Stegostoma tigrinum: one gene and its partners. The protein of the gene in region 3 interacts with the protein of the main gene of each other region in a pairwise test. Links are inferred from orthologs where the notes say so. Each region holds a gene or a part of one and is shown on either strand. Other genes may lie near its edges.

The links.
Region 1: the proteins of alpha-synuclein-like (region 3) and bcl2l1 interact in binary tests that used the Homo sapiens proteins (3 or more experiments, as listed by UniProt). The link is inferred for Stegostoma tigrinum from reciprocal best matches to the Homo sapiens genes SNCA and BCL2L1.
Region 2: the proteins of alpha-synuclein-like (region 3) and sdf4 interact in a two-hybrid assay, tested with the Homo sapiens proteins (2 studies listed by BioGRID and IntAct). The link is inferred for Stegostoma tigrinum from reciprocal best matches to the Homo sapiens genes SNCA and SDF4.
Region 4: the proteins of alpha-synuclein-like (region 3) and arfgap1 interact in binary tests that used the Homo sapiens proteins (3 or more experiments, as listed by UniProt). The link is inferred for Stegostoma tigrinum from reciprocal best matches to the Homo sapiens genes SNCA and ARFGAP1.

The regions. Positions count from the first base shown.
Region 1 is NC_081372.1:57,848,339-57,855,775, forward strand, and holds the start of bcl2l1 (bcl-2-like protein 1), read right to left. Parts: upstream 3,245-7,437; 5' UTR 3,023-3,244; coding exon 2,552-3,022; intron 1-2,551. UniProt on the Homo sapiens protein: Potent inhibitor of cell death. Inhibits activation of caspases. Appears to regulate cell death by blocking the voltage-dependent anion channel (VDAC) by binding to it and preventing the release of the caspase activator, CYC1, from the mitochondrial membrane.
Region 2 is NC_081381.1:29,565,394-29,573,657, forward strand, and holds the start of sdf4 (45 kDa calcium-binding protein), read right to left. Parts: upstream 3,149-8,264; 5' UTR 2,864-3,148; coding exon 2,553-2,863; intron 1-2,552. UniProt on the Homo sapiens protein: May regulate calcium-dependent activities in the endoplasmic reticulum lumen or post-ER compartment. Isoform 5 may be involved in the exocytosis of zymogens by pancreatic acini.
Region 3 is NC_081354.1:9,864,341-9,871,833, reverse strand, and holds the start of alpha-synuclein-like, read right to left. Parts: upstream 3,077-7,493; 5' UTR 2,857-3,076; intron 2,746-2,856; 5' UTR 2,730-2,745; coding exon 2,609-2,729; intron 1,498-2,608; coding exon 1,456-1,497; intron 1-1,455. UniProt on the Homo sapiens protein: Neuronal protein that plays several roles in synaptic activity such as regulation of synaptic vesicle trafficking and subsequent neurotransmitter release.
Region 4 is NC_081372.1:31,569,733-31,577,614, reverse strand, and holds the start of arfgap1 (ADP-ribosylation factor GTPase-activating protein 1), read right to left. Parts: upstream 3,062-7,882; 5' UTR 2,891-3,061; intron 1-2,890. UniProt on the Homo sapiens protein: GTPase-activating protein (GAP) for the ADP ribosylation factor 1 (ARF1). Involved in membrane trafficking and /or vesicle transport.

The DNA of each region.
Region 1 (7,437 bases), on a different chromosome or scaffold from region 3:
GTCTGGGCAGCACAGGAAGCACTTGAGGTAATGAATTAAAAATATCATATGGCAAGGACTATTTGGAATTTAAAATCCACTTGATCTGCTGTTCCGGATTCTAATACAATGATATAGCTAATGTAACGCCACCCTGGTGAGACAGGTCACAGACAGGTAGCAGCTGAGTGGAAAATTTCCACCTCATCTCAACAGCAAAGTGTAAGAAAGGAGGTTGAAATTCACATGTTCAAAACTACGCAACAATCACACAGTCTTACAAACGTTTATACGGTTCATTCTTCACACCGGTCAGCTCTGAGTACAATGGATCAATATTCAAAAAGATGCGGACCAGAATTGTACACACATTTCAAATTATACCAATTACTTCCATCTTTACACACTACAGCCCAACTTCTCCTCCAGACTTTGGGCCAAACGACATCACAGATGCTGAGTCAATCAGTGAGGTTCCTCTCTTCACATCTGCAGAGATGTGTTACATTCTTGTCTCAAGGGCTACATTAAAAATTAACTTTTCTCTCCTTTAATTCACTTATATCTCAAACTGACTGATACATGACCAAGTGTTTCATTGGAGGTAAAGTAGCTTGGGACACCCTGAGGTTGTGGCAGGCTTTAACGAAATGCAAATCTGTCTTTCTGATCAAAAGATAGAATTACTGTAATTTAGGACTGTAATTCACAGCACAAAAGGCCATTTGACTTATCGTTTCTGTCCTGTTAAAAAAAAAGCTCACCACCCTGATTCCACATTCCAGCTCTTGATCAGTTTAATAGGTTATGGCATTTCAAGTGCAAACCAAACGCCTAAGCGGGATAAAGGCTTATCCCTCTTTGCCTTCCAGGCAGTGAATACCAAATCCCCAGCATCTTCTGGCCAACATAATTATTCCTCATTTCCTTTCTAATCCTTTTACCAACAAAATTACATCATTGAGAGAAACAGCAAGAACTGCAGATGCTGGCATCAGAGTTAACACAGTGTGGAGGTGGAGGAACACAGCAGGTCAGGCAGCATCAGAGGAGCATGAAAGCCGATGTTTCAGGTCGGGTCCTTCATCGGGACTGGCAAAGGGTCCCAACCCAAAACATCAACTTTCCTGCTCCTCTAATGCTGCCTGGCCTGCTGTGTTCCTCCAACTCCACACTGTATTGACTAAATTACATCAATGATCTCAAGTTGCTGTTGAGGGAAATAGTACCTTCCCATCCACGCAATCTAGACCCCTCAAGTCTATCTTTTCATCACAATTAAATCTTCCCATGGTTGCCTCTATTCAATGGAAACATTTCCTCATAGCTGAAATTCTCCACTCCTTGTCACACCCTTGTAATTCTTCTCTGTAACCCTCCAATGTGATCACAGAACTGTACACAGTGCACTAACCACAGCTATATACAATTTAAGCAAACACCCTCCCTCAAATATTCTAGGCTTTGGCTAATAAGGAAGTTATTCCATACACATTCTTTGCTAATTTATTGACTACTCATGTTTTTTTTAAATCAGAATTATGTGGAACGTACTCAAAAGTCTCTCTTTTTCCACAAACTTCACAATGTCCCATCAGCTGTTGTTATTTCTTTGCCCTCCCAAAATCTAATAACTCTCATTTCTGTAGATGGAATTCTGTTTGACTACCTGACCAGCACATTGCCGTCTTGATGCATTTTGCAAGTTTCTCACTCATGGCCCAATTTAAAGTCCAAGTGATCATGGATTGAAAATTTCTCCATCAATTAAGGGTATGCTGCTCAGAAGACCCAATTTCAAAACAGCCCACAAAACCAAAACAAAGTTGGAGATCACAAGCCCTAAAGAATTAAACACATCTATCTATTCAATACCAAACTTCACTGGGATGCTAGAGTTTAGGTTTAGCTCTCATATTCTTTCAAAGAAATGCTAACTACCCAAATAAATTGTGGAAATCCTTCTCAATACAGTGCGCAAAGTCAAATGTGCTGCATCAAGAAATAACAGTGTGATGGAGTATCACAGCAAGCTAGGATTATGGGGTCTCTCCATTTTATCGGTTAAATTCAGTGATTTTAAACATTTTCCAGAAATTAGCAAACTCGGACCAACGCTGCCATGGAGGTAGAATCTCTGAATCACACAGAAAGTAGGATGATCATTCAGCCCAGTGTCTGCCAGCTCTCTACAGAAGTCAGGGCCAAAAGCTCTTTAGTGTTAAGCCAGGGTTGGCGTATCTAAGGGGAAAGGGGTATAGGGTTAGGGATAAGTGGTCAGACTTCCTGTGTAGAGGATGAAGGGTTATAGATTTAGGGATTAACAGTCAGGATTCTATGTGGAGGATGAGGGTTTATAGGGTTCAGGATCAGAGGGTGAGGGGTTATTGTGGTTAGGGAATAAGGAGTCAGATACCATGTGTGGATAGAAAGAGACTCTTGGACTACAGGACAACGACCTAGTGTGAAAGGTGAGCGACGTGGGGCTAGAGTTAGGAATCAGGTACACTGTATAGATTCCCAGGCTTTGCAATGTAGAGACCTGGTGGATGAAGCTGGCTAGAGCTCTTACCCAGCCACCGTGCTGCCGGATCCAAGGGTCCAGGTTGTTCTCCAGGTAGGTACTCATCCAGTCGGCGATGCGGGGCACCAGTGCGCCCATCTCCTTCTCGGCGCTTTCCACACTCAGGGCCGCCCCGAAACAGAAGAAAGCCACCAGCCGGCCCCAGTTAACGCCGTCGCGGAACAGCTCACCCACCACCTGCTCGAAGCGCCGGTATGCCGTGTCCGGCGTAACGCGGAGCTGCGCCGACAGATCGCTGAAAGCCCGGCGGTAGCGCAGCTCGAACTCCTCAGCGGCATCCAACAGGGCCTGGCGGGCCCGCTCAGCCTCGGGCCTGCCATTGCACACAGCCGCTCCGGGCTCGGGCTGTGTCCCCAGGCCCGCCGCTCCATTCTGCTCACAAAGCCATCTCCAGTTGTGGCCCCTCTGGGACAGTTTATAACGAAGGAAATCAGCGACCAGCTCCCCACTACTGTACATCCTGCAGCGTCGGCACCTCACCCAGTAGCCGGCATGACGGACACGAGAGATTCTCTGTTCGAGGCCTGCCCCTTCCCCCCGCACCCACTGGGACCGGGCCTGAGACCCCGCCCACTGACCACGGGGCCGCGCCCACCGCGGGGGTCACCGCCCTGCTAAGGCCCCGCCCTCTACCGGTACCCTGCCCAACTATAGGCCCCGCCCATTCCCCATGGGACCACCGCCTTCTGCCGGGACACCGACCCGCTATAGGCCCCGCCTAATACACATGAGGCACCGCCTCCTGGGCCCGCCCTGCTCACGGAGACTGCGCCCCACATTTACCCGCCTATCCGGGCTCCAGTCACTATCGCAGCGCCGTACCCTACGACCCCCCGCTAACACGACCTTAGTTAGGGTGGAAGGGAAGTTGCAGCAGGCCGTGTTCCTATCCATCTTCTACCCTTGTCTGTCTTCATGTGGATTTGGAAGGTGCTGTTGAAGGATATTTTGGCGCATTTCTGTATAACATCATGTAGAAGGCACAATGCCGCTACTTAGCACTGATGGTGGAGGGAATGGATGTCTGTGGGTGTGGTGCCCATCAAGTGAGTTGCTTTGTCCTGGATGGTGTCAAGCTTCATGAGTGTCATTGGAGCTGCGTTCATCCACAAGTGGGGAGTATTCCATCACACTCCTGACTTGTACCTTGTAGGTGCTGGACAGACTTTGGGGAGCCAGGAGGTGAATTAATCGCTGCAGAATCCTTAGCTTTTGGCCTACCCTTGTAGCTACAGGGTTTACTCCAGTTGAAATTTTTTGAGACGATTTGTAGCTCAGATGAGCTTCACCAGAGGTGCACTGACAATGTTAGCTAGCAGAGTGACAAAACGTCTGAAATCAAACACACCAGCTCGGTGAGCAAACCTACAACCTTACTCCAATTGAGTTTCTGGCCAGTGGTGACCCAGGAGATGTTGGTAGAGATTGCAGTGATGGTAATGCCATTGAGTGTTAAGAGACAATGTTTAGTTTATCTTGTGCCTTGTAGATGGTGGTCAGGGTTTGGGGATTTAACTGTAGCTGCAAACATCTTCTGATCATGAGGACATTGACTTTTATCTGTTGTTCCAGGAAGGTCTGCATTATCCTTGCTATCCAGTCATCTTGTTTAGCTGCAGTTTCTATTCTAACATTGGGATCTCTCTGCACTATACTCCTATGAGGATGTCTGCCAGAAATCCTCATTATTGCATCTGGCTTTATCCTCCTAAATGTATTTTCTGAATCAGTATTCAAACTGGAACTGGGTTTCTCCATTCTCATTCTCATACTGCCTGTTACCAATCCACAGCCTCATGTCATAGAATGTAGAACATTAAAGCACAGTACAGGCCCTTTGGCCCTCGATGTTGTGCCGACCCGTCATACCGATCATATCGATCATGTCGCTCGTCTTGGCCATTTAGCCAATATTTATATTTTCCCACAGATTTGCCTTCACGTCCCACTATTGTGGCACCCTACTTCAGCTGAATCAGTGGCAAGTTAACCACTTGTGAACTTATTTTGGGAAAATGATCCCCACATGAGATAACTTCTTCATGTTCATCATGATTGGTGCTTTTATCAGTGTGTATTTCCTGAGCCCTTAGGTCCTGCCCCTCAGCACCAATTTGTAGAACTCACGGGTACATAAAGTACCTGGTTCTTTGCCGGCAACGCCTTTGCCCATGTTCTTAGAGTCCGAAAATTCATCTTCCTGTGAGTTTTGAAGAGAACATGATAGCTGTTTTTAATGGGAGACTAGATAACTGTATGAGTACTGAAGTTGAGAGGGTCTCAAGTAGAGAATAAATGTTTGTATGGACCTGTTGGGTTAAATGCCCTACCTCACTGTCATATATCAAGAATAATTCTAACTGATTTTGAGTGCTTTTGAGGCATTACTTTTGATCTTCTCAGATCCTGACATTGTTACCTGGTGCCTGTTATGCCCAGATCCTGGGCAAGTTCCCACATTGGATAATCTCAAACTCTTAATGTCTTGGCTTCACTTTGTCCAGCCACTCCTTCTGGGTTTTGGATCCATAGGATCCCTTTATCTTTCAGATGGACTTGACTCCTTTTTTAACGTGCATATAACCAGGTTTTTTTGAATTAAGAGTGAATATATGCAAGAAGAAATACTAATTTTGCATATGTAAAATTTATATAAAATACGAAGTTTGAATAAATGAAATACTTTAAATAAGTTTATGGATGAAACCAAGATTGGTGGTAAAGTGGACAGTGAAGAAGGTTATCTAAGATTACAAGAGATCATTGGGTACTAAAGAGTAGCAAATGGAGTTTAATTTGAAAAAATGTGAGACATTGCATTTTGGAAAACAAATAAAGACACGGCTTTCACAATTAAAAGTAGGGTCTTGGGCAGTGTTGTAGAACAGAGAGACCAGGGGTTTCAGGTAAATAATTGTCTGAAGTTCGTGTCACATATAGAAAGCAGACATTAGTATGCTTGCTTTCATTGCTCAGACCTTTATGTATAGAAGTTGGGACGTTATATTGTGGTTGGACAGGACGTTGGTGAAGCCTCTTCTGGAGTACTATGTCCAGTTCTGTTCTCCCTGTTTTAGGAAGGATATTATTAAGCTGGAGAGGGTTCAGAAGAGATTTACCAGGACAATGCCGGGAATGGATGGGTTGGGTTATAAAGAGAGGCTGGAAAGGGTGGGACTTTTTCCACTGGAGCGTAGGAGGTTGAGAAGTGACCTGCTAGAAGTTTATAAAATAATAAGCAGTATGAATGGCAGTTATCTTTTCTGTAGAGTCGGGGATTTCAAGTCTGGGGGTCATATTTTTAAGCTGAGAGGAAAAATATTTTAAAAAAAGACGAGGGCAATATTGTTACACAGAGACTGGTTCATGTATGGAATGAGCAGTTTTTAATTCATTAACATGATGAGAGCATCACTAGCTAGACAGCATTTATTGTCCGTCACTAATCAACCAAAGGGCAGTTCTGAGTCAACCACATTGCTGTGGGTCTGGAGTCACTTGTAGGCCAGACCAGGTAAGGATGGCATCAGAGATAATGGGAACTGCAGATGCTGGAGAATTCCAAGATAATAAAATGTGAGGCTGGATGAACACAGCAGGCCAAGCAGCATCTCAGGAGCACATGGCAGGATTCTAACTTGGGCCCCCAGAATGCTATCTGGGCCACTGGAATTAACAGTCCAGCAATGAAAGTATGAGGCCATTGCCTCCCCCTTTCAGAGGAATTGGTGGATGCAGGTACAGTTACAATGTTTAAAATGTTTGGAGGGATATGGGCCGAGCACAGGCAGATGGGACTAGTTTAGTTCGGGATTATGGTCAGCATAGACTGTTGTACTGAAGGGTCTGCTTCCATACTGTATGACTTTTTGAACTTATCACCACTAGCCATGGGTAATGTACTCCTATAGTTTGATTCCTGTGAAAGTTCTCCTGTCACATCCAATAACATTTGCTGGATCTTTGCATTTGCTGTGTCCTTCTGGCTTATCATAAACCATGCCACTGGATTTGAAATCTCTCCCAAAGCATCTGATGCAGTATGTCAATGCTCTCCAACCTTTTCAGCTTTAATGAGTGCTTTCACACTGGTGCTGATTGCCAGATATTCTAGGATCATCATGCAGTATTGAAGGCAACATTCTGAGCATGTACTAAGTGGTTTGAGCTAAAACTGCCAACTATTTATAAAGAACATTTTGCATTTACTGCTGATTGCCAGTGCTTTTTGTAACTTTCTGATTGACTGATTTGTCAATATTTTGTGTAGAGCCTCATTACTATCAGATGGTTTCTTTCATGCAAGCCGTTGCTGAATGGACTTTCTGCAACAATATGCATTACTACAATATTTGTATTCACACACATGTCCCCAAATTTGTCATCTGCAAATTCACCTTCATTATCCATTGTGACCCAAGGACTGTACTGGCCCACTTTTCCATGTCTTTTTACGCTATCGTCCACCTACCCTTATTGTTTATCACTGTGTGTATGGTAAACCTGGTCACCATATCTACAAAATCTAATAGACGTTCTGATCTTTGACCCATATCTTCAGATCCATAACTTTTACTTCATTGAATTTCAGACTGTAGGAGCTTACAACCAGGCATGGTGGTGTCTTACAATATTCAATACTAATATCACAATGCAATGTGATTTTTTTGACAAGGGTTTCCTGTTCTTTGCCTACAATTCCGACATCCTTTAGCAGTAGCTGTAATTTTTGTGAAGAGTGGTGAGCAAATTGTATATTTGATTTCCATATAATCATCTTATCTGCCAAACTCATATCTACAAATATTAATAACACTTCTGTCATCCCTTGATGAGAAAATCCTGAATTGTCTCAATGGAATACAGTAATGCCT
Region 2 (8,264 bases), on a different chromosome or scaffold from region 3:
ACAAAAATGAAGTCCAATAGGTTGGTTTATTACAAGTTTCTCTAAGTTTAACATTGCAATCACCCCATGTTCTCAAATGTCAAGCAGAGTATTACTCTGAAGCAGGCTCAATTAGTTCTATGTTCAGTGCGACAGTGTCCTCCTACCTTCCAACCTCCATAAACTTCAATTAATCAATTACTTGCTGCGTTTCAGATCCTACACAAAAGGTCCACTCCTTCACGGATACGAATCTTGCTTGTTCAACACCTTAAATTTTCACTTTCATAGTTCTTTATGGAGAAGAGTGAAGCCATTTACCTGCCAAACAACCCTATACCAAATTACTTATTCCTGTGATTCCAGACTCCACACCTTCATTTGTTCCATGCATCTGTGGTGGCCATGCCCTCTCTAAAATCTTCCTGCCTCTTTTAAACTCACGTTCACTTCTACCAAGAAATATTTTGTAACAGCCTCAAAATATTTTCTTCCTTGGCTCAATGTCCAGTTTTCAAATAAGTCTTTGTTTCTCTATCTTAGCGTTAAAAAGTAATTTAATTGTACAGTCCATTTCCAGCTGCTTCAACCAATGTTTCACAATGTTCAGCACCAGTTGGAACAGCTCAGATAATGGGCCTGGATGCAGGAAGATACGGATAACCTTCATGCTGTGGTAGATAAGTGGCGAGTAACATGCATGACACACAAGTGCCAAGCAACGATAAGCATGTGTCTAGCCCTGCTTGACCTTCAATGGCATTACTATCGTTGAACCGTCCACCAATGTATTGGGAGTCAGCAGTGACTAAAACCTAACTCACCCAATTGTATTAAATCTGTAGATACAAGAACATGTCAGATCTGGGAATTATTTGCTGAGTAACTCACCTCTCAACTCCCCAGAGTCTATCCACCATCGGCAAGGCACAAGTCAAGAGTGTGTTAAATCCCTCCCACTTGCCTGAATGAGGGCAGCAACAACAATCAAGGTGGTTAACACTCCTAGAATAAGAAGTAGCCCATCACCTCATTCATCAACTTAATTCATTCCTCCGGCAGCACTCTGGCTTGAGGGAGTATTTTCTATAATGATGCAGCATTAATTACAACTTCTTACCAATGCTCCTTTGACAGTATCTACCAAATCTGTCCCTAGCATCATGTCAAGAACAAGGGCAGCAGATACATGGAATCACCACCAGCTCCAAAGCTTCCCACCAAGTCACCCATCATTCTGCTTTGGAACTTTACTGTCACTAAAATACAAGAATTCCTTTGAGGACTGGAGAATATCAACACATCGTAGCAGTTCAAGTGACAGCTCACCACCAATGCTCTCTCTGGGATGCACAACCGTGTAGCAATGCAGAAGTCAAATAAATTGTGCACAAGTCAACTCCTTTAGGTTTAACTTGCATGGCTGTGCAAACAAAGGATTGAAGGTTATCAAAATAAAGCGAACAGGCACTGCACAACAACAACAAAAAGGGACATCATCACCATCTACTCAAAGGCCATTTGGAATGCCACTGTATAACTCTTAACTGCACGATGTATAAAACAACAAAATTGTTTCTATGTACTAACCTCATGCTCATCATATACTCACTAAATGCTGTAGTGATAACCGTACAATTATTAACACAGTGTAAACAGTACAGACAGAATGTGATCCACATCGAGATTAGGAACAAGTTTAAAAAACTAGAGGACACTTAACTCGAAATTCTCAGCATATTGAGCAACAACATATTTATGTAGCACCTTTAACCTGATATAATGTTTCTGCAAAGCATCTTAGAATGTTCTGAAACAAAAGTATTACACCAAAGCACAAAAAAGTAGATTTTGTTAAAGGACCCAAAAAAGGAACGTTTTGAGGACATCGGACAGAGAGAGACAGACAGAGAGACAGACAGACAGAGAGACAGACAGAGAGACAGACAGAGAGACAGACAGAGAGACAGACAGAGAGACAGACAGAGAGACAGACAGAGAGACAGACAGAGAGACAGACAGGTGTATGAAAGGGTTTACAAAAACTTTGGGCCTAGGCAACTGAAGGTGCAACTACCACAGAGCACTTAAAATTGAGAGTGATGATACCATAATCATAAGTGCTCACATTTCCAAGGGTGTGGTGTTAGACGTGAACAAAAGCCACGGTGGAATTTTTTAAAAAAGCAAATACTAGAATCGTGCATTCAAGAATAATAAGTGTCACATTCTCAAGTGACTTTCCTAATCTTGGTTCAAGAAATCAGTGCCAAGCATAAATACCAGCCACACTCAATTACTAAACAAAAACTTATCCTGGTTTTAGAACATTATCAACTAGGGTAGGATTAAGCACTGAGACTAGATTTTCTGAATGACTGTCATTTTAAAAGATCTGGGCCCAGCCCCAAACTGCGAACACTATTCTGTCTACCTGCAACTTCACATTCAAGGAACTACGAACCTGCACTCCAAGGTCTCTTTGTTGACTAACAACTCCCCAGGACCTTACTATTGAGTGTATAAATCCTGCCCTGTCTCCCATCCGAGAAAATGCTGACGACAGTACTCACTTTTCAAAAATGGCAATGAGCTTCTTTCGGTTTCTGACGGGCTCGGAGTCCGCCTCAAACTCATCCATCTCCTTGCCCAGGAAGACCTCCTGGTGGAAATCCTTGTTCAGGACACCCCCCTTCTCCAGTTTAAGCCCGCTCAGGTGGTTCGGGGGCTGGATCTCGTTGTCGTCCAGCTTGGCGCCCGACTTCTCCCGCTTGACGGCTGAGTTGTTGGTCGGCCGAGCGTAGACATCGACCATCAGAAAGATACAGAAGCCGCTCAGGTAAAGGCTGGCGACGCCGCACAGCACCGACTTCCCCGAGGCCATGGTCCGAGCCACCGGGCCCGAAAACCCAAAACCCTCCCCGCGCTGATCCACCGACTGCGTCAGCCTCGGGTGCCTGTCACATCCCCCTCCTCACCTTCCCCTACAGCCGGGAGGTGATATCTTCCTGTCACCCACCGGGGTGGAGAAGGGGCTACCGTGAGAGGCTGTTACGGCGTTCTCTACAGCCGGAAACCACAATGGACCTCACTCACGGCAGCGGAGCATCGAACCTGCAATCCGCAAGCCACAAAAAAAACCCGGCTCCAGCCCAAGAAGGAGGAAGCACTGGTCCCGATCGACAATGCCCTCTCCGACTCCCCCTAGCCTGGAGGACTGACTTTACACGCTTGCATCTATGCCACACTTCGGTTGGAGGAGGATGCACCAACAAGATATCAGCGAAGCTGGATGAACACAGCAGGCCCAGCAGCATCTAGGGAGCGCAAAAGCTGACGTTTCGGGCCTAGACGGAGGATGAAGGGTCTAGGCCCGAAACGTCAGCTTTTGTGCTCCCTAGATACTGCTTGGCCTGCTGTGTTCATCCAGCTTCACACTTTGTTATCTTGGATTCTCCAGCATCTGCAGTTCCCATTATCACTGCACCAACAAGAGTTCGCTTCATTTATCGCCCTTAGTGCTAAAACCCTCCAAGTATTTTAACTCACTTATTCGTGGGATGTGGAATGTCGCTGGCTAGGGTATGGTAGAATGACTAGACTCAAAATGTTAACTTTGCTTTCTCTCTACAGATACTGCCAGACTGGTTGAGTTTTTTCCAGCAATTTCTGTTTTTGTTTCAGATCTCCGGATTCCCCCTTTTTTTTGCATTATTTTAGAGGAACATTTTATTGCCTATCCCTTCACTCTTGGACAAAGTGGTGGCCAGCAGTGTTCTTTAGAAACTCCGAGGGTTGTTAAGATCACACTCAATGCTGTTAGTGACTTGCGGAATTTTAACACAGCACAGGGTAAGAACGGCAATATAGTTCCCATGTCTGACTGGTGTGTGGCTGATGCTCCCATTGCTCGTGGGATTCCTTAATTTGTTATGGTTCCAGATAGCATGCCCCGAATTGTTGAGCGTCTGGGTGACGTGAGATGAGATGAACTGGCTCCCTTTATTCACCTGCATCCACTTTTCCATTGTTTAGTTATAACAAGGTCACTTTAAAAATGGATCCCTTTCCTGGTGAATACCCTTCTCTCAGACCCAAATGAACTCATGCTTCAAAAGGTGCAAACTAAACTAGGCTTTCTTGAGTCAAAGAGCAAATTTATTAATTACCAACAACTAGTAAAGCAATACACATGCATACAGATTAGAAATAAGGGATAATCCCAAAATGATGCAAGTTTAAAAAGAATCATTTTGGAAAGGCAAATCAGGGCTGGACTTATACACTTAATGGTAAGGTTCTGGGGAGTGTTGCTGAACAAAGAGTGCAACTTCATAGTTCCTTGAAAGTGGAGTCACAGGTAGATCGGATAGTGAAGGTGGTGTTTGGTATGCTTGCTTTTTTTTGGTCAGTGCATTGCGTATAGAAGTTGTGAGGTCATGTTGCAGCTATACAGGACATTGGCTCGGCCATTTTTTTGGGAATACTCTTTGCAATTCTGGTCTCCCTGCTAATAGCAAGGATGTTGCAAAACTAGAAAGGGTTCATAAAGATTTGCAAGGACATTGCTAGGATTGGATGGTTTGAGCAACATGGAGAAGCTGAATAGGTTAGGACTATTTTCCCTGGAGTGTCAGAAGCAGAGGTGTGATACTATAGAAATTTGTAAAATCATGAGGGGTATAGATAAGGTAAATAGCCAAGGTCTTTTCCACAGGGCATAGGAATAAGGTGAGAGGGGAAAGATTCAAAAGGGACCCAAGGTGCAACATTTTCACACAAAGCGTGGTGCATGTACAAAATGAGCTGCCAGAGGAAGTGGAGGAGGCTGGTACAATTACAACATTTAAAAGGCAACTGGATAGCTATATGAATAGGAAAGGTTTAGAACGATATTGGCAAAATACTGGAAAATGGTACAAGATTTATTTAGGATCTGGTCAGCATAGATGAATTGGACCAGAGTCTGTTTGTGATATACACCTCTATCACTCTTAATGGGAGTCAGATTCTGAGTTATTGACAGAATTGAAGAAGATGGCACAGGAGTAGAGCTCCTGAACAGGAGCTCATTGCTCCGATCACTTTTCTTTCTTTTCTTCTCTTTTTCTCCCCCCCCCCCCCCGCCGTATATCTTTTCTTACCTCTAGTCCTGAGCTCGGTCAGCGTTAGCAGCGAGAGCCCACCGCAGACCCTGAACAGGCCAGGTAAGCAGACCTTGATAGGTACCAGGCAGACATTGATTGGGCCCAGTGTTGACCCTGAATGAGTCCTTACCTTTCCAGGGTGAGCACAGGACCTGGCATCAGAATCGGTGGTGGTTACATCACCAGAGGCAGGCTTATGGGTGAGACATTGCACCTGAGGATCAGCAACCTTGTCACTGCTTGGGTCTCATGCTGGCAGTGATGAAGCAGCAGCAGATGGGCATCACAGCGCCATTGGAGGTAGGCCCAGCACCAAGACAGGTGATTCCGATGTTGTTTGGGCTTGCACTTTAATCCTTACTAATTTATTCAAAATGATGCCAGATAACGGTGACAAATGAAAACTTTTCACTGTCATATTGAACAAAAAGTAACTGTATTAGTTCAGTCATTTTTTAAAAAATAGAGATTGAAGGGATGCACATGTTGAAGGGCATAACAATTTTCCCAACTCATAAGGGAGGTTCATTGTCCCCTCCTCGACCCCACTAGCAGAAATAAGGCACTGGAGTCAACATCTGTAAAAACAGTAGATACTTAGATCATTTCAGGGGTTGACACACCACCTAACCTGTTGAGGCAGCTATGACACACCAAAATGACTAATACTAACCCATTAGATTTGCTGTTGTAATGTATTTTTCTTCCAGATCACAAACCTGATCATTGGAGGCACTCTAATTGCACTGTTCTGTCCTTTTACTACCTGTCTTTTACCTAAATTACCTCACCACTTAAATGTCCTGAATTGTAGTGATTTGCAACAGGGTATCCTAATGATGGGCTTTTTGCCTTCAGCCTTCTTTACATGAGATGGCAATGTTTGTTATCCCTCATAACACAAGACTACATAGGGCTAATGTGTTATTGAAACAATCACTGAGATGTTTGTTACAGCAGACTATACAGATATTGCATTCATGGGCACATCCATATCTGGGCAAACATCAAGTTATTTGGTAACAAAAAGCTGTATGCTTTCATTGGTGTGCCACACTTCAAGTGGCCTGTTCTAAGATGGAGTCTGTGATATGAAGTGTCAGGTGACATCAAACATCTAATAAGAAATTCTGACTCTACATGCTTCCCTCCCATTTTTTAAATATGCACATAAAGAAATAGGAGCAGGACTACGCCATATACCTCCAAAGATTTCTTATTCATGTACTTAAAGTAACTGAAGAAATCTAGAAGTAAATCTGGAAATAAGCCTGCAATCTCAGGAGCAGTGCTCCTCAATCTGCCATCTAGCAGAGCAGATTAAACTGAACATTGAAATTAGAATTGTGTCATTTTCAATATTAATCTCCTGGAAGCAGAGAATTTTATGGAAGTTGTTTTCACACCCAAGCAGGTTGATGATTTGCTGCGTAATGCAGATAAGTAGACAGTAATTCAAACCTTGGAAATGTCCATTATTTGTATCAATGCCATTACTAGTTGGATTATACTTGCACTGTATGTTTAAAAATCTTTGAATTGGTATTATAACAGATGGTTTAGTTTATCCTGTTTTATGCTCATTTCTTTGACTAATAAACTTCTTTTCATCGTTAAAGTAAAAATCTGCAGCATTGTGTGCCTATGTTCAGCAAGGGACCACTTCATGAAAACAAAAACAAATCACAGCATGATCCACCAAGCCAGGGTTCTGTCAGAGATATGACTTGTTTACTTGTAACATCAACTGGTATCGTAGCATCAATCTCTCATTGATTATACAGGATAGATGGAGAAGTTCTATTTCTCCAAACCAATACAGGAAAAAATTTGTGGAAGATAAGTCATTGATAACCAAATAAAAATGATGGGGAACAGAAGTGAATTTATTTGGGCTTCTCACCTGCATGGTCACCATGGGATACATTTTAATAACTGCATGCAATAAAATGATGTTTTAATATCAAGGAGGCAAGCCAAATGAATTAGGATTGCAACCACATCATAGTTTGCAAACTCCTTACCTAGTAGGTATTTTCCCATAATCAATCCAGCAAAGTGTGGCAAATTTAGGTGATTCTGCACAAGTGAATCCATGGTTGAAACCAGTATGACAGCTAAAGGGAAAAGTGATCACAAACTCTCCAGCCTCCCGTGCTTTAATATAAGCAGCTTCTGGTACACCCACCTCTGCCACACTGCAAGTTCAATTGACAATTTAGATTGTGCAATTCCTTGCACAGATAACCATTCAGGATTATCCAACAAATGTTGTCCAATTGCAGATTCATCTCAAATGTAACAGCCATTCACTCATTGTTCAGGGGTGCTACCCTGAGAAATTAAAGTCAATCTGTATGGTTCAAAATTTAAATAAAGCAATCAGCATTAATGGATGCATTATGTTAACACTTCTAGCCCCAGAGTCTACATTCCAAACGATCAACATTCTCCGTACATACAAAATAAATATTGCTTTTCCTTTGAACTGGTATTCTTGCATGTCATCTCTGGCGTGAGACAAAAAGCAGTTCTCATTTTAGAGAAGGAGGCTAAGAGGGGATTTAATAGAGACCTTACAAGATGATCAGAGAATTAGATAGGGCGGACAGTGAGAGTCTTTTTCCGAGGATGATGACTTTAGCTTGTACAAGGGGGCATGGCTACAAATTGAAGGGTGATAGATTTAAGACAGATGTCAGAGGCAGGTTCTTTACTCAGAGTGGTAAGGGCGTGGAACGCCCTGCCTGTCAAGGTAGTTAACTCAGCCACATTAGGGGCATTTAAACAGTCCTTAGATAAGCATATGGATAATGATGGGATAGTGTAGGGGGAGGGGCTTAGATTAGTTCACAGTTCGGCGCAACATTGAGGGCCAAAGGGCCTGTTCTGCACTGTATTGTTCTATGTTCTAAGCAGATACCAAAATGTGTATTCTTCTTAGCAAGACTATATATCAGTAAAAGCAGGCCTGGGTATGGACAAGTGCAATCATATTTGCCTTTGTTGTACTTTTCAGTATGCATTTCCTCCTTAAAACTGTGGAGGGTCAACGGAACCACCAAAGTAATTTATCCTCCAGATCTTGATTGCTACAGGTGGAAGCAAGAGTGTTTGAAGAGTTGGAAATAGTCTCTT
Region 3 (7,493 bases):
GAGACGAATTAAAATGTTACTCAAAGGTAGATGCATGTTTGGCATCTATCAGCACTTATACACATGGTCATTTTTCCATTTTCAACAGCTCTAGCAAGTGGTAGCAGTCACATAGAAAGTTGCTACATGTGGAAATATCAGATGCTCCACCTTTACAGAACAGTACTCCAAATAATTCTGTTACAAAGGACCACAGGTTTGCACAGGTGAGGCAACCTCACGGAACTCATCATTTCCCAATCGTCTACAGTCTCAGCATCCAATTAGCTTTCTAATAAGTCTGCAACTTTTGATTCTGGCCACCATCTGAAAAACCAAATCAAACAAGTTAATTTCTCTTGGTCTGAAGAGCTATTTCTTGATGTTGCCTTTCACCAACTTGCCCTCGTTTGTTTATACATGCGTAAAGGAATTAACTCAGCCTTTGAATACAGAAAACATAAGTAGTTAAACACAAGATAAGGTGTGATTTTAAGTATGAGTGAATATCTGGATCCACACAAGCTCCGTAGAGCCAAGCTATATTGATGTCTGAACACTGCACTCTTGCTGTTTAAAGCCTCAACATTACCATACCTTGATCTAGGTCGTCTAACATTTTCAGTCTCAATGATGGCTTGTATTAAATAGAAATTTTTCACACAGAAACAGTCCATACGGCCTGGCAACTTTTAAGCTTCATGTGGGTCACAGTAGCAAACCAACGTAATACTGGAGGTTCTGCCAACAGTACAGACAGACAGGAAATGGCATTAAACACGAAGCCTGGTGGTGAAACTACACTCACTACTCAGAAAGCCAGTAGTACAAGATACTCCCGCTATACTCACTGTAACAGTCAACGTGGCTGTTTCTTCTCTCATATGTTGCATCAAAGAAAAGCTCAAACCTATTCTACAGGTCAGTCTGACCCATTGTACATATTGGGATTAACAGTTAACTTTTGAGGAAAGTTTGCAAATACTTGCTTTGTATTTCCTTGAGATGAAAGCTGTTCTAATTATGATTTGAGACGATCAAAGGAGTAGATAGGAAAGAGACAGAGAGACTGACTAGTTTCTCAGGGATGCGGCGGGGAGTGGGGGGGGGGGGGTGGTGGAGAAGCAGAATACAGATTAAAATTTGAACCAGGCCAATTTGGGGTGATGTCAAGAAGTAATTCCTCATACAAAGTGGATTGCAAATCTGGAACTTCCTCCTCCAAAAACATTTGAGGCTGTGACTTAATTGAAAATTTCAAAACCAAGATAAGATTTTTAACAGCAGGAATATTCAGGATTACAGAAGTAAACTAATTTAAAGGTCAGGCATGATCTAACTGGAAAGCAGAAGATGATGGAAGGCAGAATGCCCTCTTTCTGTGCTCCTAATTCTGTACTTAGAAACAGACCCACACATATAGACAAAGAGACTAGCACACACATAACATTACAGAATTCTATTGATTATTGATACCTGAAGATACGCCATGAAATACACCTTCCTTGGTCCTGGAGCCTAGAGATAAATACATTAAAGAAGAAGTAAAAATAAATAAAAACCCCTATTAATAAATTGTCACAAATCACAGCAGCAAATCCTCTTTCCCCAGGCTCAGGTCAAAATTAAGCAGCCAAGGCGTGGAGAGGTGTTAAAGGCTAGCATCAACGAAAGCAGGAAAAACTGACAACGGGTTGGTCAGCCGGGGAAGAGCCACGGGATCTGGAAATAACAGGGAGCTGCTTGTTAGGCAGGGGTTAAGCACGCCATTGTTCCACTTCCCCGGGACCTTGTACCTTCCCCATCCTCACCCTCGCATCTTCTCTCCTCCCTCTAGCTGGACCGCTGGAGAAATGACAGCCTGCCAGCAGGTTCAAATCCCACCTGCGCCTGAGGTGTGTTATGTCAAACAAATTGCTTCAACAACATAGATAATAATAATGATGACAGTTCCGAAATTAGTGCAAGACAGACATGGGGGGGGGGGGGGGTGCCCGTGGAAAACATTAAAAACCTCAAATTTAAAGGAAAATAGATCAAATTCGGGTTTAAGTCCTTAAATTTCAAGCTGCAGGAAATAAATTACATTGGCCTTACCATTGACACGTGTCAATGTCCCCAACTCAGTGCACACAGCAGAAAAGGTCTTCAGAATTCAGCAACGAAATGACCTTGACCGCAACCTTCCCGCTCATCGAATTTAACACACACACATCCAATGTTACATTCGTTCTAAATTTGTTGGAAAATAATTCCTTTTCAGCACCCGACGGTTTACGTTTTACAAATCTGCACTGGATTAGTTCTGGATTTTTTTTAAAAAACATATACAAAGAAATCTCCCTCCCTCCCGGTGCCAAAACACTTGATGCTCTGCTTCTCTGCAACTTCCATATTTCGGATTTGGAAGTGGCAGCTATCCTTCCTCCCCGTCTGACAAATCACCCCACACACCGTTCTTACCAGAGAATAAAAGGAAAGCTTTCTATTATTCCTCCGTGTTTCTTACACATCCCACCCCCATCCCCCCAAAGGTGTAAGATTGGGTGAATGGAGTTGTGTGTGTTTTTACCCCGTGCCATTTCTTGTCTGAAAAGACAGCCATGTGAAGCATTAATTTTCTACCTACCCACATACAGCACCCCATCCTTCGTTTTTCCCGCCGCCTCTGCCACTCCCTGCTTCGTTTTCTCGGCAGCAGCTACTACCCCATCCTTCGCCTTGGACAGCCCTTTCATGAAAACGTCCATGGTTACTCTTTGGTCACTAGGCGAAAGAGAGAGAGACACAGAGATCACACAATAAGTAAGCCTCTACAGTGACTTAAACCACCTAAAATCTGAGAACCACAAACACCGACACGACGTTCAAGTTTACCGTTTGATTTGTTTATCGGAGAGAGAAAAAAAAATAATTCCCCCAGCTGTTCAGTACATCACTGCAGCATCAAGGTTTGGTTTAGGATGGTTGAGCTAAACGCAGCCCAGAGCTGAAACCACCGAAAGCTCCAGCGCCTGGTGTTTGAACAGATTGGTTCTGACTCCAACTGAGCAGCCCAGCTTCTTCCCCACTGCGTCCTCATTCGAGGAAAGCAGACGTGCCTCCTGATTTGTGGTTGTGAAGGGCTTTCATCTCTCGGTTCCAACCCACCTCCCACCACCCGTGGGGACATTCGGCCCCCACCTTCCCTCCTCTTCGCCCTCGGCTGCAACATTTATATAAAACACATCAACTTCAATCGAAAGGAATGCTTCATCATCTTGGATCTGTCTCGCCTGTGGAAATTATTCTTCTGTTGCCATGTGCCGAAGACTAGCCCTGCAGTATTTTAAATCTTTCAGATGGAGAAATGCACAGCAATATATGTTGAACACGTTACCCTTTTTTTGTAGTGACTGGTACGTTTGCTATTAATATAGTATATATGTGTAAAAAAAACTACCACCTCTCCCTCCTCTCTATTTCTGTAAATGCTTTTAAGAATTTAATCCAATGTAATTTCTTGACGACAGTAAACAGACAAATGAAAATGAAAATTTGAGATTCTGAATTAATTGCTTGTTTCATTTGTTTCTGATGCCAGATTAAGTGATGTTGTGTTGACAGCAGTAAAGAGAAAAACCCTCCAACAATTGTGTTTCAGCAATATTTCAATAATAATGTTATACTTTTCTTAGCGTATTGAGTGCAAAGTCATGCAGAGAAGCCTCAGAAAATCTGATGACTTTTGCCATCTGGGGGAAGTGTAAATGCTAAATAGAGCAGAAAGAAATAGTCGCGAGTCACATTGAATCAATTTTTAATACCATGCAATGAAAAACAAAATCTGTGTAAAATAAGATGCTGATTGTCCTCTTATGAAAAAAACAAATCTTCAAACTAAGCCTGTGAGGGATTCAAATAATTGCATTAACATTTGCTGAGGAAATTCTTTCTTCAATATTTTCTGTGTCAATATCTGAGGGACTGTGGATGTGACAGTTCAACAATGGAACATTGCCTCAACAAATCTTTCAAACGATTGTCATGAATGCATTAAGTCCACAAAGCCAGTATCCCATCACCAAGCCATCCTTTATTTACATGCCCATGCCACCGATCTGGGTCCCAAAGAGCCAGATCTCAGAGTGAGCAGGATGTCTGGCACTCCGAGATCACAAGGTGTGGAGCCGGATGAACATAGCAGGCTAAGCAGCACCTTAGAAGCTGGAATGCTGACGTTTCGGGCCTAGACCCTTCATCAGAAATGGGGGAGGGGAAGGGTGTTCTGAAATAAATAGGAAGAGAGGGAGAGGCAGATCAAAGATGGATAGAGAAGACAGGTGGAGAGGAGACAGGCAAGTTAAAGAGGCAGGAGTGGAGCCAGTAGAAGTGAGTAGGTAGGGAGGAGACAGGTCAGTCCAGGAGGACGGACAGATCAAGGGGGCGGGATGAGGTTAGTAAGTAGGAAATGAGCGTGCGGCTTGCGGTGGGAGGAGGGGATGGGTGAGAGGAAGAACAGGTTAGGGAGGCGGGGATGAGTTTGGCTGGTTTTGGGATGCGGTGAGGGCAGGGGAGATTTTGAAGCTTGTGAAATCTACATTGATACCATTGGGCTGCAGGATTCCCAAGCGGAATATGAGCTGCTGTCCCTGCAACCTTCAGGTGGCATCATTGTGGCACTGCAGGCGCCCCAGGATGGACATGTCATCTGAAGAATGGGATTGCGAGTTGAAATGGTTTGCAACCGGGAGGTGCAGCTGTTTGTTGCGAACCGAGCGGAGGTGTTCTGCAAAGCGGTCCCCAAGCCTCTGCTTCATTTCCCCAATGTAGAGGAGGCCACAACGGGAACAGCGGATGCAGTATACCACACTAGCACATGTGCAAGTGAACCTCTACTTGATGTGGAAAGTCTTCTTGGGATCTGGGGATGGGAGTGAGAGTGAACAATCTCATTGTTACCCAACCCCGCACCACCCGCTTCTATCTCCTTCCCAAAATTCACAAACCTGCCTCCGCTGGTCGAACCATTGTCTCAGCCTGCTCCTGCCCCACCAAAATCATCTCCACCTATCTGGACTCCATTTTCTCCCCTTTGGTCCAGGTACTCCCCAACTACGTCCGTGACACCACCCACGCCTTACACTTCCTCCAGAACTTCCAATTCCCCAGTCCCCAACACCTCATTTTTACTGTGGACGTCCGGACCCTAAACACCAGCAGTCCTCATACAGATGACCTAAAGGCCCTCTGCTTCTTATTGTCCCGCAGGCCCGACCAGTCTCCCTCCAATGACACCCTCATCTGCTTAGTCGAACTCGTCCTCACCCTCACCCTCAACAACTTCTCTTTCAATTCATCCCATTTCCTACAGACAAAGGGGGTGGCCATGGGTACCCACATGGGCCCAAGCTACGCCTGCCTATTTTTAGGTTACGTGGAACAGTCCCTCTTCCGCACCTACGCTGGCCCTAAAGCCCACCTCCTCCTCTGTTGCATTGATGACTGTATCGGTGCCACCTCGTGTTCCCACAAGGCGTTTGAACAGTTCATCCACTTCACCAACACCTTCCATCCCAACCTCAAGTTCACCTGGACTATCTCTTACACCTCCCTCACCTTCCTGGACCTCTCTGTTTCCATCTCAGGCAAGCACCTAGAAACCGACATCCATTTCAAGCCCACTGACTCCCACAATTACCTATACACTTCCTCGCACCCACCTTCCTGCAAAAATGCCATCCCCTCTCCACAGTTCCTTCGCTTCCACCGCCTCTGCTTCCAGGATGAGGCATTCCACTCCCGCACATTTCAGATGTCCTCGTTTTTCAAGGACTGCAACTTCCGCCCTATTGTGGTCAAGAACGCCCTCAGCCATGTCTCCCGCATTTCCCATAACTCATCCCTCACACCCCGTCCCCGCAATAACAAACAAAAGAGAATCCTCCTCTTCCTCACATACCACCCCATCAACCTCCGGATCCAACGCATCATCCTCCGACACTTCTGCCATCTGCAAACCGAACCCAACAACAAAGACAATTTTCCCTTCCCACACTTGTCTGCTTTCTGGAGGGACCACTCTCTCTGTGACTCCCTTGTCCACTCCACACTCCCCTGCAGCCCCACCACACCCGGCACCTTCCCCTGCAACTGCAGCAAGTGCTACACCTGCCCCCACACCTCCTCCCTCACCCCCATCCCAGGCCCCAAGAAGACTTTCCACATCAAGTAGAGGTTCACTTGCACATCTGGCAATGTGGTATACTGCATCCGCTCTTCCCATGGTGGCCTCCTCTACATCGGGGAAATGAAGCAGAGGCTTGGGGGCCGCTTTGCAGAACACCTACGCTCGGTTCACAATAAACAGCTGCACCTCCCGGTCGCGAACCATTTCAGCTCCCCCTCCCATTCTTTAGATGACATGTCCATCCTGGGCCTCCTGCAGTGCCACAATGATGCCACCCGAAGGTTACAGGATCAGTTCTCATATTTCGCTTGGGAACCCTGCAGCCCAATGGTATCAGTATGGACTTCACAAGCTTCAAAATCTCCCCTCCCCTCACTGCATTCCAAAATCAGCCCAGCTCATCCCCTCCCCCCACTGCATCCCAAAACCAGCCAAACTCGTCCCCGCCTCCCTAACCTGTTCTTTCTCTCACCAATCCCCTCCTCCCACCTCCATTTCCCACCTACTAACCTCATCCCGCCTCCTTGACCTGTCCATCCTCCCCGGACTGACCTATCACCTCCCCACCTATACTCTCCTCTCCACCTATCTTCTCCTCTATCCACCTTTAATCTGCCTCCCCCTCTCTCCCTATTTATTTCAGAACCCTCTTCCCCTCCCCCATTTCTGATGAAGGGTCTAGGCCCGAAACGTCAGCGTTCCAGCTCCTAAGGTGCTGCTTGGCCTGCTGTGTTCATCTGGCTCCACACCTTGTGATCTCAGAGTGTCAGACATCCTGCTCACTCTGAGATCTGGCTCAGTGGGAGCTAGATCAGTGGCAAGGACGTCCAGCTCCACACCTTGTGATCTCAGATTCTCCAGCGTCTGCACTTCCTATTATGTCTGACACTCCTGTTTATGCCTGTCAGCCCACACTTCCTGATTGGACAAAATTAACAGCCCCTCATCCACCATGTCCCACTCAGATTCCAAGGTATTATTCAATGCTTGATGGAGAGGGAGAACCCACAGATCCTGGAACAGTCAGAAAAGCTGTTGAGGAGCTGAGCACATTTTCCCACTCCACTGTTTGCAAGTTTGTAATTTTCATGTGGTCCACCAGGTGCTTATTCAGGACTATCACACCTACCTGAACTTTATATGACATGGACGTGCAGGTATTGGACTGGGGAGGACAAAGTCAGAAGTCACATGACACCAGGTTATAGTCCAACAGGTTTATTTGAAATCACAAGCTTTGGGAGGGCTGCCCTTCACCAAGTGAAGTGACAGAGAAGTGTGCAGAACACATAATTTATGGGCAGAGAGATCAACAGATCATACAAAAGTATAAGTGGCAAGTTGA
Region 4 (7,882 bases), on a different chromosome or scaffold from region 3:
GGTGCCGGGTGTGGTGGGGTTGGAGGGGAGTGTGGAGCAGACAAGGGAGTCACGGAGAGAGTGGTCTCTCCGGAAGGCAGACAAGAGTGGGGATGGAAAAATGTCTTGGGTGGTGGGGTCGGATTGTAGATGGCGGAAGTGTCGGAGGATGATACGTTGTATCTGGAGGTTGGTGGGGTGGTGTGTGAGAACGAAGGGGATCCTCTTTGGGCGGTTGTGGCGGGGGCAGGGTGTGAGGAATGTGTTGGGGGAAATGCGGGAGACACGGTCAAGTCATTCTCGACCACTGCAGGGGGAAGTTGCGGTCCTTGAAGAACGTGGACATCTGGGATGTGTGGGAGTGGAATGCCTCATCCTGGGAGCAGATGCGGCGGAGGTGGAGGAATTGGGAATAGGGTTTGGAATTTTTGCAAGAGGGTGGGTGGGAGGAGCTGTATTCTAGGTAGCTGTGGGTGTCAGTGGGTTTGAAATGGACATCAGTTTCTAGCTGGTTACCAGAGATGGAGACTGAGGTGTCCAGGAAGGTGAGGGATGTATTGGAGATGGCCCAGGTGAACTTGAGGTTGGGGTGGAAGGTCGGCGCCACCTCTTGCTCCCCAGAGGAGCTCGAACACTTCACCAACACCTTCCACTTTCCAACTGTCTTTTACCTGCGAATCGTCTCTCCTAATCAACTTTTGAAAGTTCTTGCCTCATACCATCAAAATTTGCCTTACACCAATTTGGAATTTTAACTTTTAGATCAGATCTATCCTTTTTGATAACTATTTTAAAAATAATAGAATCATTAATCACTGGCCCAAAGTGCTCCCCCACTGATACCCCAGTCACTTGTCCTGCTTTGTTTCCCCAAGTGAAGGTTAAATTTTGTTCCTTCTCTAGTAGGGTACATCCACATACTAAATAGGTATTTTTTTCTAGTACACATTTAAAGTCCTTTCTATCGAAGACCTTAACACTATGGCTGTCCAAGTTTACGTTTGGAAACTTGGAATCTCCTACCATTACAACCCTATTATTCTTATAGATGTTTTGAGATGTCCCGTGGAGATGGACATGGAAGTCAGAGACCTTGGGAAAATAAATAGGAATATCTTGTGAACTGCACATATTATAAAAGGTAGTGGTGATGGATGTCTTAAAACACAAAGGTGGATTAATCACAGGGATCCAATCAAGTGAATCCCAGAACTCTGCGGGAGCTAGGGAAAAGATTGCTCGTCCACTTGCTGAGATATCTATATCATCAACAGCCATGGCTGAGATGCCTGAACATTGGCCAATGTGGTGCCACTATTTAAGCAAGATGGTAAGGAAAAGCCAGGGAAGTATAGACTGGTGAGCATGACATCAGTGGTGGGTATGTCGTTGGAGGGGATTCTAGGGGTCTGGATTTATATGTATTTGCAAAGGCAAGGGCTGATTAGGGATAGTAAACATAGCTTTGTGTGGGGGAAATTAAGTCTCACTAACGTGATTGTGATTTTTTGATGAAAGACAAAGAAGATTGATAAAAACAGAGTAGTAGATGTCATTTACATGGACCTTGACAAGGTTCCACATGGCAGGCTGGTTAGCAAGGTTAGATCATGTGGAATCCGGGGGAAGCTAGCCAATTGGATACAAAATTGGCTTGAGGGTAAGAAACAGAAGATGGAGGTAGAGAAGTACTGTACCTCCCAGTCACGCGCCTTTCAACTCTCCCTCTGACTCCTTGGATGACACGTCCATCCAGGGCCTCCTGCAGTGCCACAACAATGCCACCCAAAGGTTGGAGGAGCAGCACCTCATTTTTCGCTTGGGAACCCTGCAGCCCAAAATCTCCACTCCTGCAACCGCATTCCAAAACCAAGCCAGCTCATCCCCACCTCCATAACCTGTACTTCCTCCCACCTCAAGCCCCACCCCCATCTCCTACCTACCAGCCTCTGATTTACAGCATCTACAGTTCTTTTGGTTTTTATGAAAAGAAAATGTGTGTGTATCAAAAGACGACTGGTCAAAAAGTTAAAACTTGGACAGAACGAGGAACACCAAGATAGCTATACCAGTGAAAACTGAATTAGACGTATACCTAGAAAGTACAAATACTAAAATGAACCTATATTACACCACAGTGTAAGAACTAGTACACTACTGGCATGTTAATAATAGGTAGTAAATCACAAAGTTTCTGTTTAATTGTAAGGGGTTCACTCTGGGAATCATTTCTAAATTTTACAACACAAAACGGGGAAAATACATAGTCCATTCACAATCTGTAAAGAAACAAATGACGGATCGACATTTCATCAGAACGAATCTCCTACATCATCGTAATCTAAAGATCCGGCTAGACAGATGTATAAATGTCCATGAAGCTGCAATGCACTCTTCAGCATTCAACTAATATTACTCTTTTTTCAAATAGTCTCTGCTCCGGCGCTAACGTGGCAGAACAATATGAGCGTTGGGTTTATAGAAGTGAGTGCATGAAAGAGAGAGGGAGGAAGCAACAGTCTCTATGAGGTGAAGGTTTGGTTAGGCACAAACCAAACGACTGGAGTCCACTGTTTATAATGAAATGAAATCACTGAATGGCCAACATAGCTGTACACCGCTGCAGCTGTCCAACCACTAGCTCCCCTTCAGGATGATTTGCAGACAAGGGGACGGGGACAGGAACAACAACGAGGCCTCAGCCGGCAAACACACACCTTAACTTACTCATCACGACTCACTGACTGACAAGAGGTCTGGACCAATCCCAGAGGCCGCTAACCTCCCTCCGGCCAATCAGCTGCCGGGGAGGAGGGCGGGACACAGCCGCCATCACCCTTAGGTTGACTGACTCATTTACCGGCTTTTTCATCCCGGCGACGGACGGACAGGCTCGCAGCCGCCTACTCACCTCTCCAAGGTCGCCGCTTCGGTTGACACTAGGTCCCCTTCAAAAGAAAGGCGCGTTCAGCCTCGGTGCGAAAAAGAACAGCGAGTGAAACCCGCTAGTCAGTCCGACACCAACCACCTCAGGAACAGGCGGCCGCCATCTTTGACGACGTTGCATTTACAAGAGGCTTTTGGGTAAAGTGGCCTCTGCACAGTGTTGAGTGATGATGTGTGAAACTGGGTGGAGGTGTGTATGAGGTATCAATGATGAGAGCATAACATATCGCATAATGCATACCGGTGTATTAATACCTCCATTGGCTCCTCCTTGTCCCAACTTCACCACTTTTGCCATCAATCCCCCTCTCCTAGGATACTTCCATGGTAGCTTAATGAACCAATTCATTTTGGCTCATATGAATAAAGAGCTAGAAATTGTAAATCTTGAAAACAAAAAATTGCTTGAAAACAAAAGATATCCAGCACACCCATTCAGCATCTGTGGCCAGAATATAAGGGTTAAAAATGGTTCATACCTTGTTGTAGCCAGGTGTACAGCATTTTACTTTTTCAGCTATGTTGAAAAATATGAATACAGTAACTTGCTGTAGGTGCGCACTAATAACAGCGCAATGAGGGCAACATGAAATATTGGACTTGGTCTGCCTGCTTAACAAAAATACGAGATGGCATTTCTATTTAACACCTACATTGGGCTATCTTGAGATGTTGGCGGGGAGCGTTTCCAAGCAAAATTTGACTTCCAAGCTGCAAAATGCATTTTTAATCAAGTGACTGAAAATTTAAACAAAGTGGTGGGTTTTAATAAGATTAGGAATGTAGAGAAGAGAGATTTAGTGAGAGATTTCACAATAAAGCTTAGGCGTACATAATCAGAAGTGTGCAAGAGAGCCATATTAGGATGATTAGCTGGAGTACAGAGATCTTGAAGGGTTGTAAGGCTAGAGGAGGTTACAGGTCTGGGCAAGGCCATGGAAAGATTTGCAAGGAAGTATAAGCACCTTGATATTGATGAATTGCCAGACTTTTCAGTCAATGTTGATTTGTGAGAATTGGTTTACAAAGAGTGCAAAGTGGAAAACCAACCAGCAAATCATTGACGCAATCAAGCCTAGAGGTACCAGGTGAATATCTCAGCAGCAGATAACCTGAAACAAGGGTGGAGACAAATTATGTTATTGGAGGTAAAAGTAGCTGATTTTGGTGATGGAATATATATGAGATTGGAAATTCATTTCGGTCAAATAGGAAATCAAAGTTAGGCATGTTTGATTGAAATAATATCCAGAGAGGGATGAAGTCACTGACTGGCATGCAGAGTTTGTGGCAAAAGTCCAAAATGATTTAAGAATTCAGAAGGAAAGAGCATAGAAGGGAAGAAGTGTGACTAAAATGGCTGGAATAAAGTTAAATCAGGTATAGAAAAAAGGGAGTGAAAAAACACCTGTTTAAAGAGAAAGGAAAAGTAACATAAACATTTTTAAAAATTGAAATTTTAGAAATCACAATAATTTACAGCCTGCAAGAATGTGATAGTACCATATAAATTGTTCTCCTTCTGCCCAGATGTTGATTGAAGCAGTTGAAAATAGTATCTCCACTGTCAATTACCACTTCTAACTTTCTGTAGCTAGTTTAATGAGCACATCATGTAAAAATCCAGAACAGTTCTTAAAAATAACAAGGTAGTCTGAGGTATCGCCCTTGCAAAGCAGAGTTTGTGAAGGAATGGAAATTGACCAGAGTTCCAGAAATTTATCACCCATCTTGGCTACAAGATCACTAAAATTGAGACCAACATTTAATGCCACTTCCATCCATCTATCGTTCCCACCAAGCTAAACTTCACCTTTGTCCTAATTTTGAAATTTGACAGTTTTGGAAGACCAGATATTCTATCCATTAAATATGGTTAACTGCTTACTAACATGGTAGGTGAAGTTACAAACTCTGTTTCTTAGAAACAAGATTTTCCCTTCTTCCTCAGCCACTTTATTGTTGTTGAACTTTTGACCTTATACCTGGCTTAGGCAGGACCTCCCAAATTCATTATCATTTTCGAGGAGGAGTGAGGTAGCGGGTACATGGCAACTATGGCTTCAAGTTCCCCTCTAAACCACTCACCGTCCTGAATTGGAAGAATATCACTGTTCCACTATGGCTGGATTAAAATCCTGGAATTCTCTCCCTAAGGGCATTGTGAATTAAACTACAGCGCGTGTACTGCAGTGGTTCAAGAAGGCAGCTTACTACCACCTCTCAAGGGCAGCTAGGTATGGGCAGTAAATGCTGGCCAGCAAGCGAAGCCCACATCCGATGAGGAAAAAAAAAAGAAACAGAAATTTTGAAAAATTAGCAAGGAAGTAATGCTCAATTTGTAAATTACTGCTGTAGAATCATTCACGTGCACCTCAACAAGTACATGGGGCTTTAGCGTGATATCTCATTGGAACAAAGGCGTCTCTGGCAGTATAACTCTCTGTCATTATTGCACAGTGGGCACCCAATATAACGTACAAAATATCCATTGAGAAGTTTTGCTGGTGATGGTGCAGAAGAGTGGGAGCAAGGTAAGGCAAATTTAACTTAACTATTATTGAAAAGGTGTTGGTCAGCTTCCTTCTTAAACCACTGCAGTGTGTATAGTGTTAAAATATCCTTCGTACTGTTAACAAAGGAGTTCCAGAATTTTAATAACAGGAAAGAAACAGCAATATATATATATATACTCCACCCCACAATGGTGAGTGGCTTGGGGAGAACTAGCAGGTTATATGTTCCTTGTTTCTGTAGGTAGCTGAGGTAACAGTTTTGCAAAGTGCTATAGTTCACTGCATATGTGAGACAAATGAGGCATTCCACACCAGTCTTCACCAATTGCTGTCCTGCATCCCCAAGGAAGACAGGTTGATTCTCCGTGGGAACTTCAATGCCAGAATCAGGCGTGATACCAACCTTTGGAGAGGCATGTTTGATAAGGAAAACATAAGGAAAATAAACTCCAACAGAGTCCTATTCCTGATGAAATGCATGGAATGTGACATTGTCATAACAAATACCCTGTACCACCAGAGGAATGACTTCAAGATTCCAAGATTTCTTGGCAACCCACCCCACACTCCAAACACTGACACTTGATAGACCATATCATAATTTGAGCAAGAGGCTGCAAAGGTGTCTGCATCACCTGCACCAAGACCAGAGCTAATGACTGCTGGACAAACCACTGACTAACCCCCTTACCATCTCCACCAACCTGGCCCCAAACCATCAAAGGCAACAAAAAAATCTCTACCACAGAGTACTCAATATTGCTGGTCTCAAAGACCTTGAGAATAAAGATGTACCCAGGCAGCGCCTCACATCCAAACTGGAGGTGATCAACAGATTCACAGGGTGCCCACAGTGCCTGGTCCACCCTAAAAGCCACCATGGTCACATCTGCTTGAGGCCACTCGGCCTGTTGAACAGGAAACACTAAGACTAATGAATGATCAAGAGATCCAGAATCTCCTAAATTGCAAACATAAGGGTTCCTGGACTGGCAGCTCTACCAAAACTTGAGTGAGAGGAAGGAAGTGTAAAGATGATTGAAGGACAAGATGAAACTAAGAGCCTGAGAATTATCACCAATGCTGCCTTTGCAAAATCTTGCAAATCCACTGGCAGGATGGGCAGTGAGCATCCTCTCCTAGGCCAATATCCACAGTGTGATGGCACAGGTTACCCAATCTGTGACAAACAGGCCACATTGTCCACATATCCAACCCAAGTCCCCCTAAATGAGTGCTGTACACTGAGCTCCACAACGGTAAGCAGTCACTAGGAGCATAGAGGAAACAGTACAAGGACAGCCTGAAGGCCTCACTGAAAAAGTGCACCATCCCCACTGACACATGGGAATTGTTAGCCCCAAAACTCTCAAACTGAAGAAACATCTTCAAAGGCACTGACCGCTTTGAACATAACCTAATAGAGCACTGAGTCCTGAGGAAGGGTCACTGGACCCGAAACGTCAACTGTGAATTTTTTTCGTCACAGATGCTGCCAGACCTGCTGAGCTTTTCCAGCACGTCTGTTTTTGTACCTAGTGGAGTAGATGAAGACTAAATGCAACAGTGGAAAGAGTGCACACTGGTGTAAAGAGTGAATGTTTAAGGTGCCAGTCTTGCAGAATGCTTTACCTAGGATGGAATCAGGCTTCATGGGTGTTTTAGGAGTTGTATTCGTCTCAGGAAGTGGAGAATATTCCATCGCACTCCTGACGTTTGCCTTGAAGTTGGTGGATAGACCTCAATGAAGAACATGAGTTACCTATAATATTTATATAGTTGGTTCAACTAAGATTCTGGTCAATGGCAATCTCCCAGGATTTTGATTGTAGAGATTAAACATTAATTGTCCCATTGAAATCAAAAGGAAATGGTTGTATTTTTCCTTGTTGGAGATGGTCACTTAGACATTTGTTATGGTGCAAATGCTACTTGCCATTCATCAGCCTAAACTCTAATATTGTCTGGCTCTTGTTGCTTGTGGGCATGCACTTGATTCATTTTCTGGGGAGCTACAAAAGAGACTAAAGACTAATCACTATAATTCCCTACTTCTGATCTTAAGATTGTGGGAAAGTATTGCTGAAGATGCTTCTGTCTGGCCATTACCTTGAAGAATTGCTGCAGCAGTGTTTTGGAAGGAAGATGATTGATCCAATACCAAAACCAGTCTCTCCTATATCAGCTATCATTCCACTTAGTTTTGCCCCAGATCCCCACTGAGTTCAATTTTGCTCAGCCTCCTTGATGCTACACTCAGTCAAATAATTTTTTGATATCAAGGGCAGTCGCTGTCACCTCACCTCAGGAGTTCATTTTTCTTGTCACGTTTGGAACAAGGCTATAATGAGGTTTGGAGCCAACCAGCCTTAACAGAGCCCTAACTGAGCGCTGACATGCAGATTATTGCTGAATAAATTTCACTTGATAACACTATCGAT